2 linked regions of the Stegostoma tigrinum genome follow. The protein of the gene in region 1 interacts with the protein of each later gene in a pairwise test. Links are inferred from orthologs where the notes say so. Each region holds a gene or a part of one and is shown on either strand. Other genes may lie near its edges. The genes, in order: rassf1 and lats2.

Region 1 (7,724 bases):
AGTGCAGAAGGGAGTTTGCAAACCCCATACATTTATTTCACCCTCCAAAGACCATCTGTCCCACACGTGGGTGAGACTGCAGCTTGTCATAGAAATCATAGAAACCCTACAGTGCGAAAACAGGCCATTCAGCCCAACAAGCCCACACCGCCCTTCCAAAGAGCATCCCACCCTGACCCATTCCCCTACTCCTACATTTCCCTTGTCTAATCCACCTAACCTAAATACCCCTGGGTACTACAGGCAATTTAGAATAGCCAAACCACCTACTCTGCACATCTTAGGATTGTGGGAGAAAACCGGAGCACCCAGAGGAAACCCACGCAGACACAGGGAGAACGTGCAAACTCCACACAGATAGTTGTCCGAGGTTGGAATCAATCCCGGGTCCCTGGCGCTGTGAGGCAGCAGTGCTAACCACTGAGTCACCGTCCCGCCCTAAACTAGATGCTACAACTTACAGAACAAGCACCACTTTGTTAATGTAAATAGCAGAGGATGGTTTTGTTCCATCAACCTCTGGGTTATGGACCCAGCACACTCCTGCTGGGCTACTCTACTGTGATGTGTACTGGACTTCTCAGCTATCTTCTAAACCGTCAAAGCAGAGTGGAAGTGAAATCATGCTTATCCTGAGGGACTGCCTCAGGTGAAGAAGAACGTCTAGGATTCCACATGGTGTGGAAGAGTTCAGCAGTGCAGGAGCTGTCTAACATCAGTAGAGATATAGTCAATGATACAGGAACACTGCTGGTGCAAACTACATAGCCTGCAGACTCAGCGAGGCAGGGAGAATTGACCCAGCACAAGTTTGTACATGAATTGGTCAAAAATCAACCATGAAAGGTGACAATTCTCACTGGGATGAACTTTCTATGTGCTGAAAGTTCCCAGTGTGGTCTCACACCAGTAGGTTAAACCTAAGAATTATATCAGGCCATTCAATCCCTTCAGTGTTCTATATCAATTATATCATGGTTAATCTGTACCTCAAATCCACTTCTTGGTCATAAAAGTATCTCCTACTTGTCAGGAGGAGACGTCAGTTTTTCACACCATTGATGTCCTCTGGCACGCTATCAGCTGCTGACTGGGAGCTGGTTAATATTCCCAACCATGCAGGTAGATGTAGCTGCTTTGCACTCAGTTACAGAAAGAAACTGAACATTCACATTTCAGAAGATTTTAATTACTTACAACTCTATCTAACTAAAAAGGATATATCTAATATTAAGCCAAGAAACATAGTCATACGCCAAAATCTGCTGAAAACATTACAACAGAGATGACAGTACAAAAATACATCACTGGCTGCAGTCTTTTGGGATATCCGGAGTTTGCGAAAGACACCATATAACTACATATCCTTTCTTCCTTTGACAAGTACTTTCCAGTGGACAGTCCTGGCCACCAGCTTCAACACTGTCAGAGGTTGTCTACAATTTTCTGACCATTTGCTTTAAAACCCCCGGTGAGCATAGCTTGCAGGCAAAGATGGTCACTGCTTACTGCCCACTGGTAAAAAAAATTCTGAATCACAGCATGCTCTTGAACCAAAGCTGAACACAAATATAAAACACAGCAAGCCAGGCTTGGGGAGATTTCACATTCTGATAATCGGCCAGCTTCATTGCCAACAGGGCCCGCAGTGAAGATGTGTCACTGTGTGACAATGGGCATCACTCTGGGATGACACAAAGCGACGCTTGCAATGCAGGGAGGTTTTTCTATTGTGTTCTTGCATAATTACATCAAGAGTTTAGCAACAACTTAAATAAGTTCCAAAGTACTTAGTTATGATGACAATGGCCTCTTTCATGTCGTTTTCATCAATTTCGGCACCTTTTCCACCTATTCAGTGTTGACAGTCTAACTGGAAGGTTTACAATGCATTTGTAGTGCATTTCAAACACACTCTTTTCTGGCTTGATCTTGTAAAGCTAGTTCCTTTCGTTAATCTGAATACTTGGAAGATTGAGGAAGCCTTGAAGGGAATCTATTACCATATATAGCCTGATACCAAACACAGAATCCTGTACAGTATACAATAGCACATCGTGTGATAGCGTGTATTTATATTCTGTAAATATGACAGCATACAGCAAAGAGGTTAGTAGTATGGAGAAAATACTGAGTTTGATAGTATAATGTATACATTGAGTTAAATAGAATATGTTTAGTATGATGGACAATACACTAAATCATGACATAAAAGTAAGAAAATGCATACAACCCATTTAACATGCACTGGAAATCTTTTCCGCAGTTTTAAAATTGATTTCCAAGCTGTATTCCCCTAAGTGATAGTCACACCCCAGCGTTATAAGTCGCCTTCTTAGTAATGATAAAAACCGCGGAAGGGTCCCTTGACTTGAAACGTCAAGTCTGATTTCTCTCCACAGATGCTGCCAGACCTGCTCAGCTTTTCCAGCAACTTCTGTTTTTGTCCCTTACCAGTGTCACTGTGACACATACGTTTTCTGTTTCTTACTTATTTCAGATCAATTCGTGTTTTTTTTAAATGCATGTTTGTAAAACAAGATAATTGCGTGTGTGAGAAACTTACTTGCGCACTGCAGACTTTGTTTGTACAGACCCCAGATGAAGTCGCCGCACAGGTCACACCAGCTGGGCTGTGTCTGGGTGCAAGGGTTGAAATCGTGTCCTTCCCCCAGTCTCTCGGTCAGTCTCGGCTCCTGGTCCACCACCAGCAGCCGCTGCCGGCTCTTGCGCTCTTGTCTGGCCGCCTTACCCATGTCCTGGACGCTGGAAGCCCGGCTCCTGGGGCTGATCCTCATGGCGTTGGTCCTCTCCAAACCGGACGAGCGGTACACCGAGCGGGTGCTGCCGGGACTCAGCGTGTCCTCTCTCAGGTCCCGCAGCTCGATCAGCTCCGCCATGGGGAGGCGAAGAGAAAAGTTTATACTGCACGGGGAAACTCAGTCTCAAACTCAGCGACAGGCATTAGAATTAAATGATCCAAAACGCCTTCGATAAGAAAACATTTCAGTCAACATGTTTATATTCGTTCGGGTCTCCCGAGCAAAAGAACCGCAACTGAAGCCAGGAGGGGCTGAGACAAGTTGATTAGTCCTGGTCCGGGTTAAAATTCCACCCCAGGATCGGCTCCTCCCCTGCGGCTAATAAATGTCTAACTCAACCCCTAACTCCGAGCACAGCTTCAGCTCAGTGTCAGGATCCGCCCATCAGCCAACGAAATACAGCAACCCGTTAGTTTTAAACGTGAAGCGAGCTGTGTGTTTGTGTGCGTGTGGAGTGGGGGAGGAGATTGATTGTAACCCTCTAAAGTTAAACTGTGACTGAATCGAGTGGATGAAGAACGTAGTGGGAGGGGCTGCTGTTTATGTTTTTTTGTGAGAATATTCAGATCACAGCTGTTCGCTGGAAAAGGATTTTTTTTTCTCTTTCCCCGTGGCTGGCCGCTGGGGTTTGATGGAACACTCTGTGCGTGTTCAGAACCATCCTCAGTTTTAGGGGCAGTGGGCGAGCAACAGTTAAGTGGGTGTGCTGGCTAGCGTTATCAGATTAAACGTAAACTCACTCTCCTTTTATAAGTGTTATCCTTCCTCTGTCCCCGAGCTGGACCACGCAGGTTCAACCTCTAGAATGTGTAATAACGTTTCGGAGCAGTTGCTTACCTATATTGAAGTGCATCACTCATAACCAAAGTGTGGAGCTGGATGAACACAGCAGGCCAAGCAGCATCTCAGGAGCACAGAAGCTGACGTTTTGGGTCTAGACCCTTCATCAGAAAAAAAGTGCATCACTGGCGGGTTTTAAGAAACCAGAGATGAAAAGACTGGTGTTGGGATCACTATGTTTTATTGTGATTTAGTCCACGGCAGGACTTCCCAAACAAGGAGTTGCCACTCCCACTGGGTTCAGGAGTCAAGATTTTGGGCTCCTAAACTCACAGGCAGCAATTTGGAATCTAGGCTATATAAAGTGATGAGAATGGGGATAGTGGGTATACACAGTTTCCTGTAGTGAGGAAAAATACTTTTACCTTTGGACGTTATTGCAAGTCATCACCACATTATCGGTGGAGCTAAGTTGCCCAGGATTCAACGACTTTTTAAGATAGGGATAACGGTGATCTGCCTCATTTTCATCACCTGTACATTTATAAGGCTTGATTTTGGGGACTGGATTTTGCAATTCTCACCAATTCACTAGACCCCCCTCTCAATATGGCCTATCTGCATGATCTCCAGGCCCACTCACCTTGTCCCAAGTGTGGTGTCCATCACTATTTCATCTCATTGAGTGCCGTCTCAGAGTGACCATCACTCCCAACGGTACGCTTAGGACTGAAAAGCAATCAGCCCATCACTGTCTGGCGTCTCCTGGGGGTGATATCTCACCGTTTAAAGACATGGGAACCGTAAAAGCTGAAAATTAATTGCTGGATCGATATAGAATCATAGTCACACAGCACAGAAACAGACTTTTCACCCCAACTCATTCACGCCAACCAGACGCCCAATCTGATCTAGTCCCATTTGCCAGCATATATGCCAGCCCATACTCCCTGTAAACTCCTCATATTCATATACCAACCTGGATGCCTCTTAAATGTGAGATAAAAAGGCGTACAGCTGCATGAACCAGGCCAAGCAGCATCAGAGGAGCTGATGTTTCAGGCCTAGACCCTTCTACAGAAAAAACGGTCATATCCTCGTAAACCTTTCTGCACACTTTCAAATTTAACAACATTCTTCTTATAGGAGAGCAACCAAAATTGTACACAGTATTCTAAAAGTGGCTTCACAAATGTTCTGTTTAACTGCAACATGAAATCCCAACTCCAACATCAACGTTCTGGCCAATGAAGGCAAGCATGCCACATGGCTTCTTCACTACCCTGTCTACCTGCGACTCCATATATGACAGCTAAGGATTCCAAAAATGGCTGAGGTAGGGATACTTGCATCTTTCTAGCTTGTTGTCAGGATTCACTTTAGTGTTCAATTGTCCTGCGTTTCTTTATGTTAATCGGTTTACAATAGCTGATCTTTGTACTCAATCGGTAAGCTTGGATGTAGACTCTGAGAAAAGCTGTGGAAAGAGTTGGGAGCCAGAGCTGAAGCACAGAGCAGCCATTTTGAAACACTGTCAATAAAACCTATTAAATATTGAAGCTGGTGTGTCGTCTTGGTGTAGACCAGAGAGATATAAAATACACAACGAAGTGGAGTGAGAATGATGCAGGAAAGTTTACAGTTACTCACTCTTGCACTTTGTCTTTGCTGATAGGCCACGGGCTGAATGGATTTCAGGGTGCACCACCTATTTGCATGCTATAGAGTTGCACAGGGCAGATGGAACTCCAAAAAAATGATACTTTTATGTTGCCTCAGAACAGAAGGTCATTGAATATTCCAGCAGCTCAAAAAAGACATGAGTGCATTTGTTACATCAGCAAGTGGGTCTTGAAAAATACTTTAGCCAAAGAAAAATGTTATATTTGAATGCTATACATTTCATTTTCCACTATTATATCATAGCAATGTAATAGCAAGCCCATCAAACAAGATAGTAAATAGATGCACCAGTTGGCTTCTATATTAAATTTGATCCATTAATCAATTAACTAGTCCACACCCAACTTCAACTCTACAAACTAGTTATGTATCCCCTCATGAATGACGATCTAATTTATGAAGTAGCCACAAACTTGCCAATGTAAATCAATCCACCACATGACATTAAAATGATAGAATCCCAACAGTGTGGAAGGAGGCCACTCAGCCCATCAAACCTGCACTGATCCTCTGAAGAACATCCCACCCAGACTCAGTCCCCCACCCTATCCCTGTAACTGCCTAATTTCCATGGCTAACCCACGTAAACCTGCACATCCCTGGACACTGTGGGCAATTTAGCATGGCCAGACTACCTACAATGCACAGCTTTGGACTGTGGGAGGAAACTAGAGCAACTGGCAGAAACCCATGCAGAATTGGGAAGAACATACAAATTCCACTCAGACAGTCACCTAAAGCTGGAATTGAACCCAAGTCCCTGGGTGTTGTGAGGCAGCAGTGTTAGGTTTGAAGAGGCTACATACAAGTGCCCCCTCCGCTTTCCCAACCAACTCAATTGCAAGGGTTAAGCATGAGGAGACTTCATAATCTGATTATGACATGCCCATTATGGTTAGCTACTTACAAGATAGCTGACAAAGGCACATCCCTCCCTGATACACTCAAAGCTTTCTATGCTGTGTTCAAGCAGAATACCAGCAGCATGGTGTCACCAGCCCCGGACACACCTGTTCGCTCTGTCAGCACTGCAGACCTCAGATCAGTCTTCCCAATAGTCAACTCAAGGAAAGCGATAGGCCCTGATGGAGTCCCTGGCCGTGCATTTAGGTCATGTCCGGACCAGCTGGTGGATGATTTCACCTCCAGTTTCAGCCTCTCCCTCCTTCAAGCCAAAGCTCCTACTTTCAAGAAGACCACCATCAGCCCTGTACCTAAGAAAGCACATGCAACGTGCCTTAAAGACTACCGCCCAGTGGGGTTCTGACCTCAATAATCATGAAGTGCTTCGACAAGCTGGTCAAAGCCCACATTAACTTGAGTCTCCCAGCTCACCTCGATTCCCTGCAATTTGCCTATTGACATAACAGGTCCAGAGCAGGTGCCATTTCCCTAGCCCTGCACTCATCCCTGGAACATGTAGACAACAAGGACAGCTATGTCAGACCCCTACAGCTCTGCCTTCAACACCATTATCCCCTCAAGACTCCCCTCAAGCTCTGCGCTCTGCAATTGGATCCTCAGCTTTCTGACCCACAGACCGCAATCAGTGAATATAGACAACTGCACTTCCTCCACAATAACACTTAACACTGGAGCAACACCCCCCCCCCCAACGCCCCTGAGGATGCATCCTCAGCCCCCTACTGTATTCCCTATACACCCATGACTTTTTGCCAAATTCCGAATGAACACCATCTACAAGTTTGCTAATGATACCATTGTGTTAAGATAGATATCAAACGATGATAAGTCAGAATACAGAAAAGAGATAGAGGGTTTGGTGACATGGTGCAATGGTTACAACATCTCTCTCTCTCTCTCTCTCTCTCTCTCTCAGTGTCCGCAAAACTAAATAATTGATCATCGACTTCAGAAAGAAAGGAGGGTAGCATGCCCCCATTTACGTCAATGGTGTGGAGATTGAGAGGGTCCAGAACGTCAGGTTCCTCGGAGTGACAATAACCAACAATCTGTCCTGCACTTCCCATGTGATGCAATGGTCAAGAAGGCACAACAACGCCTCTTCTTCCTCAGGCAGCTGAGAAAATTTGGCTTGTCCATGAGGACCCTCACTAACCTCTATATCTGCGCCATTGAAAGTGTACTGTCCGGGTGCATAACGGCCTGGTGTGGCAACTGCTCTGCCTAGAACCGTAAGAAACTACAGAAAGTGGTGTGCGCAGCCCAGACCATCACAGAAGTCAACCTTCCAACCATGGACTCTATTTACATGTTTTGTAGGTGCAGAAAGGCTGCCAACATCATCAAAGACCCTTCCCATCCAGGTAATGCTCTCCTACATCCTCTTCCATCAGGTAGAAAATATGAATTCTTGAACACATGCACCAGCAGATTCAAGAATAGCTTCTTCCTTGCTGTTATTTGACTGATGAATGGCATCTCTAACTTCAATTTTTTCCTATCTTGGTACTGGTG
Region 2 (7,854 bases), on another chromosome or scaffold:
GAGAGAAAAGAAGATAGGTGGGGAGGGGATAGGTCAGTCCAGGCAAGACGGACAGGTGAAGGAGGTTGGATGAGGTACTAGGTAGGAAATGGAGGTGCGGCTTGAGGTGGGAGGAAGGGATGGGTGAGAGGAAGAACAGGTTAGGGAGGCAGAGACAGGCTGGACTGATTTTGGGATGCAGTTGGGGGAGGGGATGAGCTGGTCTGGTTGTGTGGTGCAGTGGGGGGAGGGGACAAACTGGGCTGGTTTTGGGATGTGGTGGGGGAAACGGGAGATTTTGAAGCTGGTGAAGTCCACATTGATACCATTGGGCTGCAGAGTTCCCAAGTGGAATATGAGTTGCTGTTCCTGCAACCTTTGGGTGGCATCCTGGTGGCACTGCAGGAGGCCCATGATGGACATGTCATCTGAAGAATGGGAGGGGGAATTAAAATGGTTCGTGACTGGGAGGTGCAGTTGTTTATTGCGAACCGAGCAGAGGTGTTCTGCAAAGCGGTCCCCAAGCCTCTGCTTGGTTTCCCCAATGTTGGGGCAGCCACACCGAGTACAATGGATACAGTATACCACATTGGCAGATGTGCAGGTGAACCTCTGCTTAATGTGGAAAGTCATCTTGGGGCCTGGGATGGGGGTGAGGGAGGAGGTGTGGGGCAAGTGTAGCAATTCCTGCAGTTGCAGGGGAAATGCCGGGTGTGGTGGGGTTGGAGGGGCAGAGTGGAGCGAACAAGGGAGTCACGGAGAGAGCGGTCTCTCCGGAAGGCAGACGAGGGTGGGGATGGAAAAATGTGTTGGGTGGTGGGGTCGGCTTGTAGATGGCGGAAGTGTCGGAGGATGATGCGTCGTATCCGGAGGTTGGTGGGGTGGTGTGTGAGAACGAGGGGGATCCTCTTAGGGCGGTTGTGGCAGGGACGGGGTGTGAGGGATGTATTGTGGGAAATGCGGGAGACGCAGTCAAGGGCGTTCTCGACCACTGCGGGGGGCAAGTTGCAGTCCTTGAAGAACTTGGACATCTGGGATGTGCGGGAGTGGAATGCCTCATCCTGCGAGCAGATGCGGCGGACGCGGAGGAACTGGGAATAGGGGATGGAATTTTTGCAGGAGGGTGGGTGGGAGGAGATGTATTCTAGGTAGCTGTGGGAGTTGGTGGGCTTGAAATGGACATCAGTTACTAGCTGGTTGCCTGAGATGGAGACTGAGAGGTCCAGGAAGTTGAGGGATGTGTTGAAGATGGCCCAGGTGAACTTGAGGTTGGGGTGGAAGGTGTTGGTGAAGTGGATGAACTGTTCGAGTTCCTCTGGGGAGCAAGAGGCGGCGCCGATACAGTCATCAATGTACCGGAGGAAGAGGTGGGGTTTGGGGCCTGTGTAGGTGCGGAAGAGAGACTGTTCCACGTAACCTACAAAGAGGCTCGCATAGCTGGGGCCCATGGCCACCCCCTTGGTCTGTAGGAAGTGGGAGGAATCGAAAGAGAAGTTGTTGAGGGTGAGGACTAGTTCGGCGAGGGGGACTGATCGGGCCTGCGTGACAGGAAGAAGCGGAGGGCCTTGAGGCCATCTGCATGAGGAATACAGGTGTATAGGGACTGGACTTCCATGGTGAAAGAGAGGTGTTGGGGGCCAGGGAATTGGAAGTCCTGGAGGAGGTGGAGGGCATGGGTGGTGTCACAGACGTAGGTAGGGAATTCCTGGACCGAAGGGGAGAAAATGGAGTCCAGATAGGTGGAGATGAGTTCGGTGAGGCAGCAACAGGCTGAGACAATGGGTCGACCAGGGCAGGCAGGTTTGTGGATTTTGGGAAGGAGATAGAAACGGGCCGTGCAGGTTTGGGGAACAATGAGGTTGGAGGCTGTGGGTGGGAGGGACTGCAACTTTCCCCCCGCAGTGCCACAAGGATGCCACCCAAAGTTTGCAGGAACAGCAACTCATATTCCACTTGGGAACCCTGCAGCCCAATGGTATCAATGTGGACTTCACCAGCTTCAAAACCTCCCCTTCCCCCACCGCATCCCAAAACCAGCCCAGTTTGTCTCCTCCCCCCGCTGCATCACACAACCAGCCCAGCTCATCCCCTCCCCCAACTGCATCCCAAAACCAGCCCAGCCTGTCTCTGCCTCCCTAATCTGTTCTTCCTCTCACCCATCCCTTCCTCCCATCTCAAGCCGCAACTCCATTTCCTACCTACTAACCCCATCCCACCTCCTTAACCTGTCCGTCTTCCCTGGACTGACCTATCCCCTCCCTACCTATATTCTCCTCTCCACCTATCTTCTTTTCTCTCCATCTTCGGTCCGCCTCCCCCTCTTTCCCCATTTATTCCAGAACCCTCTCCCCATCCCCCTCTCTGATGAAGTGTCTCGGCCCGAAACATCAGCTTTTGTGCTCCTAAAATGCTGCTTGGCCTGCTGTGTTCATCCAGCTCCACACTTTGTAATCTTGGATTTTCCAGCATCTGCAGTTCCTATTATCTCTGAAAATATATTTCAATCGGTCAGCATCGTGGACGTTAAAAACCCGTCTCACAAAATGACTAATACCAACAAATGTCACAGAAAAGGCATGCCATAAACACGGTCAGTCTTATAAATTATCAGCAAGCATCACACGGTAATGGGGTGAGAGGGGTCGAGGCCCAAAACGTCAGCTTTCCTGCTCCTCTGATGCTGCTTGGCCTGCTGTGTTCATTCAGCTCTACACCTTGTTATCATAATGATATTTAAGGAAATTAAGTCTCACAGAATCTAATTTTCTACAGTAACAGAAGTTGATGTAAAATCTGGGCCTTTAAATGTTATACATAAGCTAGACACAAGTTAAATACGATAATGCAATTCCAAAACTAAAATAGTCAATCTTATGCTTTTCCTTACTTTCGCCATTTAGTTGAGTTGGTTTTCCCAAGGGTTTAATTTTATTCTTTTGTGTTTGTCCGTTCGTTTGAGAGAAGCCTGTACGAGAGTTCTCAACTGTGATGGAAATCTATTTTCTCCTCACCCATCCCAACGCCACAGTATGTGGGCGGAGCTTCCGAACTTCCTGATTGACAGTTACGCGTCGCATTGTTTTCATTCCATCTCAGTCACGTGGCCGCGCGCGCCCGCGTGCGTCGCTGCGCTGGCATTCGACGAGGAGGCGGGGCGGAGGTTTGGTCGTGGAATTTGGTATCCGATTACTCAATACCGAGCTGAACTTTAGGCCTGTGGTGCCCTTGAACCCACATCTAAATGTCAACGAAATCTAACTAGAACTTGTGGTGTTCAACGTAATAGCATTCAAAAGCAAACTGAACACTATTTCTCGGAACAAAAAGAGTTTATTATGACTATTCGGCTAGTGCTGGTTCTTGCAAAGATGTATGTAATTTCACTTTCCTGCTCTTTTTAACATGCCGTGCGTTTCCCTGAAGTTTTAAAAGCATTTTTTGCAATTTCCTTTTGAAAGTCACCATTGAATCAAGTTCCACCAGCCTTTCCGTAGCTGGTTTGATGATCAAAGTCATACCATCCACACAGTGCGGAAAAGGCCGTTTGGCCCAATCGAGACTGCGCTGACCCTCCAAGCCCGCACCCTATCGCTGTAACCCCGCATTTACTGTGGTCAACGCATCCACCCAATCTGCACATTTTTGGGCTGTGCGAGGAAACCCATTGCAGACACAGTAGAAGTAGGATTTTTTTCAGAATAGAATTTTTCAGAAATTTCTGAAGAATTCACCCGAAACGTCAGCTTTCCCGCTCCCCTGATACTGCCCGACCTAAGCTAATTTTTCAAATTGCCCTGGATCCAATGGGTTCTTAACTTCTTAACTAATCTGGCAAACAATATGTAATAAAAATCCTTACTAAAGATACAGATGATACAAGGTGGTTGTAAACAGCATGATAACATCACTGCAGTGGTCAAATTGACAGGAAAATGGCAAATGGAATTCAGTCAAAAGCAGCGTGCATTTGAGCTGCCTAATCAAGATAAGAGAATACATAAGAGATTACAGTGGAAGATACTTTGAACATCCCACTAATACCAAAAAGCGTGGGAGAAGAACTAAGTACCATTGCTAGTGAAGTAGGATTAGACAAAGTAATGGGGCTAAAGGCAGATGTGTTCCCAGCCCTAATGGCTAGCAAAATAATATCCAAAAAGAAGTAGCTATCTCTAATTCTGATGAAGGGTCTAGGCCTGAAACGTCAGCTTTTGTGCTCCTGAGATGCTGCTGGGCCTGCTGTGTTCATCCAGCCTCACATTTTATTATCCTAGCTATCTAGATAGTTTCTCGTCCTCTGTTTCTGCCACTGTATTTCTCATCTTCTATGGTATCATCCTCTGTTTCTGCCACTCTGTTTCTGATCCTCTGCTTCTCACCCTCTGTTTCTGTCACTGTTTTTCATCCTCTGTTTCGCCTCATGTTTCTCATTCTCTGTTTCTGCTGCTGTGTTACTTACTCCTTGTTTCTGCCTCTGTTTCTCATCCTTTCGTTCTGCCATTGTGTTTTCATGCTTTCTCTCTCATCTTCTGTTTCTGCCACTCAGTTTCTCATGCTCTGTTTCTACCACTGTTTCTGATCTTCTGTTTCTCATCCTCTGTTTCTGCGATTGTGTTTCTCATACTTTGTTTCTCTGCATCCGTTTCATTCTCTTTTTTTCTCGTCATCTGTTTCCATCACCACTATTATCATGCTTTGTTTCTCATCTTCTATTTCTTGGCCTCTGTTTCTGCCACTCTGTTTCTCATCCACTGTGTCTCTTCATGAGTTTCTCATTTTATGTTTCTGCCACTCCGTTTCTCATCCTCTGTTTCTGATCCTCTGTTTGTTGACTCAAAAACTTCCAGACCCCGCAAGAGTTCCATTAACTTCTTTATTTTAGCTTAGCCAGCGAGAGCTCCGGAGTCAATACCAGAGTAACAGTCAAGCTCTCACTGGTGGACTCTCGTCAGACCTCTATGCATAGCATAAAAGTAGTACAATTTATAGCCCTCACGTGTGTGATTAACATACATATTTCACTATCCGACATGACTAAATGTTATCACATCCCATACTGTTCACATGCGTCATAAGCAGATAAGTAGTGCAGTTAACACTGTTACATTGAATAGAGGAAGCAGCCCCAGCCGTGGGAGAACAGCTGCAACCTTCAGGTTGTTACAAACACAGGCACACATTCCAAAATTTATGGTAAATCGTTATTTCAGCAAAACTTCTAATTATTGCTTCCCCAATACTTTATCATGTTTCTCATCCTCTGTCTCTGCCACTCTGTTTCTCACCAATGTTTATATTGCTGTTTATGCCACAGCGTTTCTCATCCTCTGTTTCTCATCTTCTATTTCTCGGCCTCTGTTTCTGTCACTCTGTTTCCCATCTTTTGTGTCTCATCGTCTGTTTTACCGCCTTTGTTTCTGCTGCTGTTTCTCATTCCCTAATTCTGCCACTCTGTTTCTCATACTCTGTTTCACCCCATCTGTTTCTCATCCTCTGTTTCTCCTCATGTGTTTCTTGTTTTCTGTTTTCCCACTCTCTGTTTCTGGCGCTCTGTTTCTCGTCCTCTGTTTTGCATTCTCTGTTTCTGCCAGTCTGTTTCTCATCCTTTGTTCCAGCCCATCTGTTTCTCATGATCTGTTTCTCATCCTCTGTTTCTCCTCGTGTTTCTTATTTTATGTTTTTCCACTCTGTTTCTCATCCTCTGTTTCTCATCCTCCGTTTCTGCCACTCTTATTGCCATCTTTTGTTTCTGCACGTCTATTTCTGTGTGTCTGTTTGTCATCCAGTGTTTCTCATCCTCTTTTTTCACCCTCTGTTTCTGCTCAAGTGTTTCTCATCCTCTGCTTCTCAAACAGTGTTTCTCGTCCTCTGTTTCCCAACCTTGTTTCTCATCCTCTGTGTCTGGCCCACTGTTTCTCTTCCTCTGTTTCGCATCCTTTGTTTCTGTCCCTCTGTTCCTGCCCCTGTGTTACTCATCTTCTGTTTTCACTCATGTGTTTGTATTCCGTTGTTTCCCATCCTCTGCTTCTGTTTCTCTTTCTCTGATTCTGCACCGGGATTTAATCATCTGTTTGTATCCCTCTGTCTCTCATCCTCTGCGACCCTCTCTTTCTGCCCCACTACTTATGCCCTTTCATTTCTGCCCCTCTGTTTTTCTTCCTCTGTTTCTCTTGCTCTGTTCCTCATCATTGTTTGCCAAACTCTGCTTCCCAACCTCTCATTCTCATCCTCTGTTTCTCTTCCTCTGTTTCTGTCCCCTCCTTCTGGCTGGCTACATTTGCCCACCTGTTTCTCCTCTTCTGTTTCTCAACCTCTGTTTCTCATGCACTGTTTCTGCCTCTCTGCATCTTGTCCTCTGCTTCTCATCCTCTGTTACTGTCCCTCTGTTTTTGCCCACCTGTTTTTTATCCACTGTTTCTCATCCTCTGATTCTCTTTCTCTGGTTCTCTTCCTCTGTTTCTCATGCTCTGTTTTTGCCCCTCTGTTTCTGCCCCTCTGTTTCTGCCTCTCTGCTTCTAATCCTCTGTTTCTCCTCCTTGGGTTTTAATCATCTGTTTCCCAAACTCTTTCTCATCCTCTGTTTCTGTCCCTCTGTTCCTAATCCCCTGTTTCTCATTCTCTAATTCTCATCCTCAGTTTATTTCTCACTGTTCCAACAGCTTTGTCTCTTCTCCTCTGATTCTCATTGTCTATTTCTCTCTCTCTTTCTGTCCCTCTTTTTCTCATTCTTTGTTTCTCATTCTCTGTTTCTGTGCTTCTGTTTCGGGCCTGTTGTTTCCATTCTCTGTTTCTCATCCTCAGTTTCTGCCTTTCTGTTTCACCCCATTTGTCTCTACTCCTGGTTCTCATTCTCTCTTTTTCACCCTCTGATTCTCACGTTCTGTTTCTCATCCTTTGATGAAAAGCCCTGCTTCGGCACCTCTCAATCTCATCGATTGTCTCTCATTCTCTCTTTCTGCCCCTCTATTTCTCATTCTCTTTTTCCCATTCTTTGCTTCTGACTTTTGTTTCTGTCCTTCTATTTCTGCTCTGTTGCTCTCATTCTGGGTTTCTCATTCTCAGTTTCTGCCCTTTTCAGTCCCTGTTTCTCTTCCTCTCTTTCTCATTCTCTGCGTCTCACCCTCTGATTCTCATTTCTTGTTTCTCATCCTCTGTTTCTGCCACTCAGTTTCTCTTGCTCTGTCTTCCCTCCTCTGTTTCTGCAAATTTGTTTCTGATTCTCTGTTTCCGCCCCATTTCCCACCCTCTGCTTCTGCCACTCTAATTCCCGTCCTTTGTTTCTGCACATCTCTTTCTGACCGTCTGTTTATCATCCTGCGTTTCTCATCCTGTGTTCGTCATCCTCTTTTTCTCTCCCTCTGTTTCTGCCAGTGTTTCTCATCCTCTGCTTCTCAAACTGTGTTTCTCCTCCTCTTTCTCATCGTATTTTTCATCCTCTGCTATTCTCCCTCTGTTTCTGACCCACTATTTCTCTTCCTCTGTTTCTGCACCTCTGATTCTCTTTCTCTGCTTCTCTTCCATGGTTTCTGCATCTCTGTTGCTGCCCACCTGTTTCTGCCTTTCTGCTTCTCATCCTGTTTGTCATCCTGGGTTTTCATCATCTGTTTGTCCTCCTCTGTCTCTCGTCCTCTGTTTGTGACCCTCTCTTTCTGACCCACTACTTCTGCCCCTCTGTTTTTCTTCCTGTGTTTCTCTTGCTCTGTTCCTTTGGTGTTTCCCAAACTCTGCTTCCCAACCTCTCATTCTCAGCCTCTGTTTCTCATTGTGTCTTTCTGCCCTGCTGTTTATCATCTTTTGTTTCTCATCCTCTGTTTCTCCTCCTCTGCTTCTGCCCATCTCTTTCTCATCCTCTGTGTCTCATTCTATGTTTCTGCC

Evidence for each region.
Region 2: the proteins of rassf1 (region 1) and lats2 come close enough for resonance energy transfer, tested with the Homo sapiens proteins (2 studies listed by BioGRID). The link is inferred for Stegostoma tigrinum from reciprocal best matches to the Homo sapiens genes RASSF1 and LATS2.

What each region holds. Positions count from the first base shown.
Region 1 is NC_081364.1:59,255,213-59,262,936, reverse strand, and holds the start of rassf1 (ras association domain-containing protein 1), read right to left. Parts: upstream 3,235-7,724; 5' UTR 2,901-3,234; coding exon 2,567-2,900; intron 1-2,566. UniProt on the Homo sapiens protein: Potential tumor suppressor. Required for death receptor-dependent apoptosis. Mediates activation of STK3/MST2 and STK4/MST1 during Fas-induced apoptosis by preventing their dephosphorylation.
Region 2 is NC_081359.1:73,335,284-73,343,137, forward strand, and holds the start of lats2 (serine/threonine-protein kinase LATS2), read right to left. Parts: upstream 3,021-7,854; 5' UTR 2,876-3,020; coding exon of another isoform or gene 2,867-2,875; intron 1-2,866. UniProt on the Homo sapiens protein: Negative regulator of YAP1 in the Hippo signaling pathway that plays a pivotal role in organ size control and tumor suppression by restricting proliferation and promoting apoptosis.